2 linked regions of the Alligator mississippiensis genome follow. The protein of the gene in region 2 binds, or shares a complex with, the protein of the main gene of each other region. Links are inferred from orthologs where the notes say so. Each region holds a gene or a part of one and is shown on either strand. Other genes may lie near its edges.

What was found. Proteins that work in one complex are often made in the same cells at the same time.
Region 1: RRS1 (region 2) and RPF2 share a complex: the UniProt entries of both Homo sapiens proteins name them as parts of the hexameric 5S RNP precursor complex. The link is inferred for Alligator mississippiensis from reciprocal best matches to the Homo sapiens genes RRS1 and RPF2.

What each region holds. Positions count from the first base shown.
Region 1 is NC_081824.1:96,476,739-96,480,489, reverse strand, and holds the start of RPF2 (ribosome production factor 2 homolog), read right to left. Parts: upstream 2,897-3,751; 5' UTR 2,796-2,896; coding exon 2,773-2,795; intron 1-2,772. UniProt on the Homo sapiens protein: Involved in ribosomal large subunit assembly. May regulate the localization of the 5S RNP/5S ribonucleoprotein particle to the nucleolus.
Region 2 is NC_081826.1:64,239,077-64,242,384, reverse strand, and holds RRS1 (ribosome biogenesis regulatory protein homolog), read left to right. Parts: upstream 1-888; 5' UTR 889-950; coding exon 951-1,985; 3' UTR 1,986-2,659; downstream 2,660-3,308. UniProt on the Homo sapiens protein: Involved in ribosomal large subunit assembly. May regulate the localization of the 5S RNP/5S ribonucleoprotein particle to the nucleolus.

The sequences.
Region 1 (3,751 bases), on a different chromosome or scaffold from region 2:
TTTTCTCATCTCTGCAAAAGTGCATATGGCTTCTCCTTATGCAACAGACATGTATCATATTAAATGTTCTTATAAGCTGTTAAAAGAAAAAATTCAACATCATGCCTAGAATATGTCTTGATAACAACCCACACGTATAAAGTAAGGGTGCACTGATAGAGATTTTTGGGGCCGACATCGATATCCAATTTTTAAAGAGGCATATCAGAAATCAGATGGGTACTGGTCGATACAGCATGAAGAGCTGCCTCCAGCTGGTAAGTCCATTGTGGTGGAGGGGGAGGGAAGACGCACCGGGGGGGGTGGCAGTGAGGGAAGGGGTAGGCACTGGCCAGCCAAAGCAGGTGTGGGATGGACCCACAGCCTCCCACAGCTGCGCGAACCCTGGGAGGACCAGGGGGATGGGGCAGGCAGCACATGCCCCTGAATCTGCATGGGGCAGGGTAGATGGGCTGCAGCTGTAGGCTAAAGACGGGGCTGCACCTTGGCTCTTCTCGCTGGGGGCTGGGCTCAGGGTGGGGGCTACAGTTGGGGCTCCAGCCACCCCAAATTTCACTGTAGCTCCCTCCCAGTGCCACTGCGCACTCCCAACTCTTCCTGGCACGTGGGTAGAGGCAGGGTGTTGAGCCGGGGCTGTTCCAGGAATGCAGTGACAGCCATCCTGGGAGGGAGCTACGGTGAAATTTGGGGTGACTGCAGCTCCCTCTGTAGCCTCAACCTGAGCCCAGACCCTGGTGAGAAGAGCCCGGTGCAGCCCTGGCCTCACCCTTCACAGATCTGGGGGCACCCCCTTCCCCCCATGCTTTCCCAGGGTGCACACAGCTGCAGGAGCCACCCCCCCCAAACAAGCCGCAGATACGTTCTGTGCCCCCCTCCACCACAGCTGGGCAGCACCTGCCCCTATCCCTGACCCCTCCCTCACCATGTGGAGGGGTAGGGGGGTTGATCTGCACCCCCCACATCCCTTCCCTCCCCGCTCCCCTTCCACCAGAGACTTACCAGCTTGGGGCAGCTATCCACACTGCAAGGCTGTGCTCCTTGCTGCCTGAATGCTGTGCTGTGGCTGTACACACGTACAGGCATTTATCAGCCAAATTACTGGCCCCAACAGGCCAGTTTCCGATACAGCCAAAATTTGTTTATACTGGTACCGATCTGATACCAGATGGATATATCAGTGCATCTCTAATATAAAGCATTTGTTATTTTACAAACACATGCTCTATACAAATACATAAAACAACAAAACTTTCCTAAAGCTTTCATTCCAAAGTTTAATGCTGGTCCCATTACCCTCATTTAGTGGACATTTGTCTTAGCCTTTTTTGTTGTTGTTTATTTGGAAGCATTCAGCCAAGTTTAGCTTTCAGCTGTTGGAGAATAACTGCTGATTTTTTCTTTTTAACATTTTTGGTTGGTTGGAGCCGACTGCATGACAACTCGGTACAAAACTTATTTAACTTGTAAAAGTATATACATTGGTAATTTGTTCATACTGTATTTTTTCGGTATGATGAAGAGCAAAAGATATATATTGTCTCATTACATTTAAATTATGATTACAATTATTAAAATTGGCAAAATATGGAATGTTTATTCTTTGCATGGTAGTATATGCCTTCCTGTAACTTCACTTGGTTACTTTATTATAAATGAGTAAGATCATATAATAGATTGCATGTAATATGTTTAATTTTAAGACAACACATGATGTACAGTTTCTAATGAAAGGTTTCTTGTATTTTTTTAATACATCATGAAGTAGCAGAGAAGTGCCCAGCATAACTGTTGAGCCTGCAGCTGTGGTGCCCTGGACAGCTTTCTGAGACTACACTATTGCCTAATTTCCTTGTTTAAGGAAACTACAAGACCTTTCAAGTTTCTTTACAGAACCTGGTCTTGATGCCTTGACAGTAGTTTGAGGAATGCCTATGGGTTTTCCAGAACTGTAAAATGGTTGTAGCCCATCCAAGTGTGAAAAAGCAAAAAGAAAAATACAATTACTCCATCATCAGACTTCAAAGTAGCAAATAACATTCAAAGTTGCTGAAATTAACCAAAAAGTACTTTTGTTGCCTAACTCTATAGCCACAGAGCAGCTCCTGAGAACTGGATAATATTCTCAGAAAGCCAGTGAGGCCACCACTGATGCATGCTCAACAGTTACACTGGGCACTTCCCTGCTTCTTCATGACCCATTAAAAAAAAATAGAAAAAAACTTTCATTAGAAACTGCCCATCAGACCTGGTCTTGAAGTAGGGTGAACAAAAAACAACCATGACCCTTTTACATAGATAAGGCAGACAGAGATGGAGGAGGACACCTGGGAGTGAGAAGGAGCCACCACCACTGATGTCACTTTGAATGCTCACAGGCAGTAAACACTCTCTGCGGTTTCATTTCAGCCTATAGCCCACAGGCTTGGTACCGTCCTCCAGAGGGAATCTGAGCTTGCCCTACATTTAGAGACGAGCAACCCAACAGGTCAGGGGCGGCACAAGTATGAGTGCACGAGTGGCAAGAGCAGCCTGTGCAGCCGGCAGGCAGCACAGCAGCAGCTCGGGCAAGGAGCAGAAGCCGGAGCAACAGATTTGGCAGGGAGCGCGCAGCCGGGAGCAGAAAGGAGAGCAGCAACGAGGGCAGGGGTACAGAGCAAGACGCAGAAAGCAGCAGCTCAGCCGGCAGCAAGGCGGGACAGGGCTCTCGGAGGCAGGAAGCGCACACCCACACCCACGTCCCTCCGGACCCCGCAACTCCAGTCCCGCACTCACAAGACGCGGTCCAGCGGCTCCATCTCGGTAGCCCCTTGCACGCGCGGCTCAACCCCACGTGGACGCACCGCACACAACCGGAAGTCCGCATTCCCTTTTCACTCTGTAACGTCACATCCGCCTACCGGAGGCGATGGCGCCACTGCTCCCTCCTCCCGCTATTTAGTAGCTTGCCCGCCAGCGCGTGCTCAGTGACAACGCATGAGGGCGCTGCCCTGAGCTGGGCATAAAGTGGGGAGGGGGAAGCGCCGGGTCTGCTCCTAGTTAGTGAATAGGTTGCTTTTCAGTACATGATCGTCATTACTACTGCTACTACTATCGTTATTATTGTTAACGTTGTATTATTAAACTAATAAAAATGATGGTAAGGATAATAATGACAATGTAATAAACCCTTTGCATCCTTTATTATCCTGCCAAAAGTAGAGTGGAAGAAGCCGGTGGGACTTACAGCGCAAAACTAACCAGCGGAAATGAGGTTGAAGTTGGTTCCTTATTCCCAGTCCCTTTCTCAAACCTAATCTATACACACTAAAAACTTGTTATTCGTGAATTACACATTCTAAGAGAGATAATTCCATCAGCTATGTATATTTATTAATTAATATGTAAAATAATATCCTACATCAAATACAGAGCCCTAAATTAAGACCAAATTAGGATAGGATTACGGGGGAAACTACTTTTTGGGACACCCCAGACTGCAGGTTGCTGCTACTGGGGGACTGTCCCGAATAACCCTAAGCACAATTGGAATAAGGAACCAACTTCAACCTCATCCAACAGAAGCCCTTTTGCACATACATATCTTCAAGGGCATGTTTATGCCCCATCAGGTTGTGCCTAGATCCTGGTATTTGTGGGGGCACGGTGTTATTTTGGTTTTTTGCTAAAGATTAGCCAGAATACTTAAAGCCCAGTATAATTCTCTTCTTTCTCCAGCTGCATAGTGCATACAGAAATGCCTGTATGGAATCTG
Region 2 (3,308 bases):
TCCTATTTCTGCTGTAGCTTCCCTGGGACTTAAGGATTACAAAGGTAGCATAGAAGCCTCCCCTCACCACCACCACCTTGCATTGCAGTGGCAGCGGAAGTGGTAGTGCGCAGGCTCTGCTGCCCCATCCCCTGCTCACTGGTGCAGGAGCAGGACCCCGAGATGGACCAGAGGGACAAACCTGAGCTGTCCCAGCCTCAACAGCCGCACCTGCTTGGTGAGAAAAAAAAAAATCTGAACTAAGGGGCGGTGGGCAGGGGGCCCTCAGGCAGCAGGGCCACAACAGCAGGTGCCTCAGCATTGCCAGGTGTTCAATATGAAATTATCGTATTGGGAGCTCAAAATGATTGTATTTTCTGAAAAACTATCATACACTGAAAAATAATGAAATAAGTATGCAAATAACTCTTCTTCTTTTTTACTTACTATTGCTCACTGTTAAACTGCTGTGAGTGAGAGAGACCTGGATCATCAAAGTTGAAACATTTCTTTTTTTCAAGGCAAACAGCCAGAAGAGAGTGTCGACAGCAGCCCCGACTCAGCTAAGACTTCCTGAGCATGACTTGGTGCATATGCTGCATCAATTAGTTGCCTCAATAATCGTCCTACATTTTGAACACTTTTACTATTACTGATTGTACACTGCACAAGGGCTGAAATGATTGTACAAAACCGATCATTATCGTACGCCTGGTAACACTGGGGTGCTTCTGCTATACAGGGCCTGGCGCCCAACGCTGGGGGCGGTGAGGAGGGCGCTGCTACAAGGGGTGCCGCAGTACCGCGGGGAGGGGGAAGGAACTACGAACCCCAGCATGCAACGCGCCGCCCGCCCCCCTGCCGCCGGGCTCCGCGCGGGGCATTCTGGGCAATGCAGTCCCGCGCTGCTTACACTCATCCGGTGCCTTGACCCGGAAGCGGCCCTTTCCCGGCCACTCGCACGTGGAGCCATGGCGGCCCCGCGCGCGGAGGAGCTGCTGGCGGGCGTGGAGCCGGCGGCCCTGCCGGCGCGGAGCCTGGTGGTGCACAAGGAGCTGGAGCTGGACTTCGACCTGGGCAACCTGCTGGCGCGGGACGGCAACCCGCCACCCCGCGCCGCCGCCGCCGCCCAGCGGGAGGCCGCACTGCGGGCGCTGGCGCGGGACAACGCGCAGCTGCTGGCGGCCGAGCTGTGGGCGCTGCCGGCGCGGCGGCCCGAGGGGGAGGCGGCGGGGCCTCTGCTGGCCGAGCTGCCGCCGCCCGCCACCCGCCTGCCCCGCGAGAAGCCGCCGCCGCGCCCGCGGCCGCCCACGCGCTGGGAGCGCTTCGCGCAACTCAAGGGCATCCGACGGCGTAAGCGGCCCTCGCTTGTGTGGGACGCGGCGGCCGGCGATTGGCGGCGGCGCTGGGGCTACGGGCGGGCGGGCGGCGACCCGGCGCGGGCGTGGCTGGCCGAGGTGCCGCCCGGGGCTGACCCGCTCCAGGACCAGCTGGGACGGCAGCGGCGGGAGAAGCGCGAGCGCGTGGCGCGCAACGAGTTCAGCCGCCTGCGCAACCTGGCACGTGCCAGCAGCTTCCACCCCACTGGCCACCAGGGCCGCCAGGAGCTGGGCCGTGCCGCCTGCCTGGCCCGTGCCTCCACCGCCTCGCTCGGCCGCTTCCAGCCGCGCCTGCCCCGGGAGTCGCCTCTGCCCCTGCCACGCAGCGCTGGCAGCGGCAAGAAGAAGCGGCGCTTCGCACCTCTGCTGGGGGACCTGGCGGCCGAGCGCGGGCGGCAGCTGGAGTTGGTGCGCACGCTGGCCAAGCCACCACCACTGGACGTGGCGCGCGCCACCAACAAGCAGCTGCGCCAGGAGGACGCCGAGGTGGCATCAACGAGTCGCGCCAAGGGCCGCAAGCGCAGCGAGCGTGGAAAACGGGCACGAGGGCGGGGCACCCCCCAGCAGCGCCGCCGGGGGCAGCAGAAGCAGCAGCGCCCGGCTGGGGGCAAGAGGAGGAAGCGCTGAGCATGGCCTGGGCCCTGCCTGGGATTCCCCCCCACCCTCGTGTGTCTGGGGGAGGGCAATCTCTCCCAGCCCAGAGTGGAGCTGGGGTACCCCCCAAGAGACAGGGCACAGGCCTGAGCCAGAAGGACTTGCTCCCCATTTATATGACAGGACCCCATTCTCGTTTGTCTTCTTGTGGCTGCGCTCAGAGGCTGGAGATGCTTTAGCAGGACTGACTGGTTACAAACAGCACAATAGACATGGGCATTTGCTTTTGAGAGGGTTTCTGGGACTGCGTTGTGGAAGGACTTAAAGAGGGTTGTTCCATGTGTTAAATGAGCCATTGAAAGTCAGCGGCTGTTTCCAAGCTTACTTTTTTGCTAAGCAGCCTAAGTATGTTCCTCCAACTCTGTCACCCCTTCATCTTTTCTCCAAGCTATCCCAGATGGGTTTGGTTTATTTTGTGTTCTGCCCTCTATTAAAATTGTAAGAGCTATAAAAATACTGCAGGTCCAAAGTGTCTCTTTCTCATGGCCTAGAAAAGCAGAGATGGGTCTGAACAAGAAAAAGTTCACTGTGTGTATGCAATTCCTTTCTGTGCTGCTGAAATGTAGACCAAAGGTTGTGAGGAATCACTTTCTAGAATTGCTCCCTACTGTGAGAAGGATGTTGCAATAAATGAAGATTTTGTGGTTTGGGGTTTGTTTTTTTTAAATGAGGTGAGTAAAGTTCTGGCTTATTTAATTGAATTGACTACGTGCATTGGGGAGAGTTAACATGTCTCAGAACATTAATACTGTACTAACTGGTATTATCTAACTAAAAATGTGGCACAATTAACATTTAAGATTGGGTAGATAAAACAGCAACTTGGAACAGTCAGAAGTTGCTGTTAGAAGGGAAGATGACTGGTACTAGAGCAGGGCTGGGCAATTATTTCGGGTGGAGGGCCGCTTACCCAGTTTTGGCAAGCCGTTGAAGGCCGCAGGGGTAGTCCCACCCCTTGACAGGTGCCCTGCCCCCTGGTCACCATCTTGGGACCAATGTCTCAGGGCCACTACAGGCAGGGAGCAGGCTGGTAGAGGTCTGTGGAGCTGGGCTGGGCTGCACCGACAGGGAGAGGGGGGAGCTGGCCCTGCTCCATAGAGCCCCTGCCAGCCAGGACCCTATACTCCTGCTGCCCTGGTGTAGGCCCCCTGCTCCCTCTGGCTCTTGCACCCTCTCACTCCCAGTGCCCAACTCAGCCCTGTGGTACAGGCAGGGGGTAGCGCACAGCCCCGACCTGGCGCTTGCTGGCAGGGAACAAGCTGGTGCTGAGCATGGAGGAAAAAGGGCCCTGCCCCA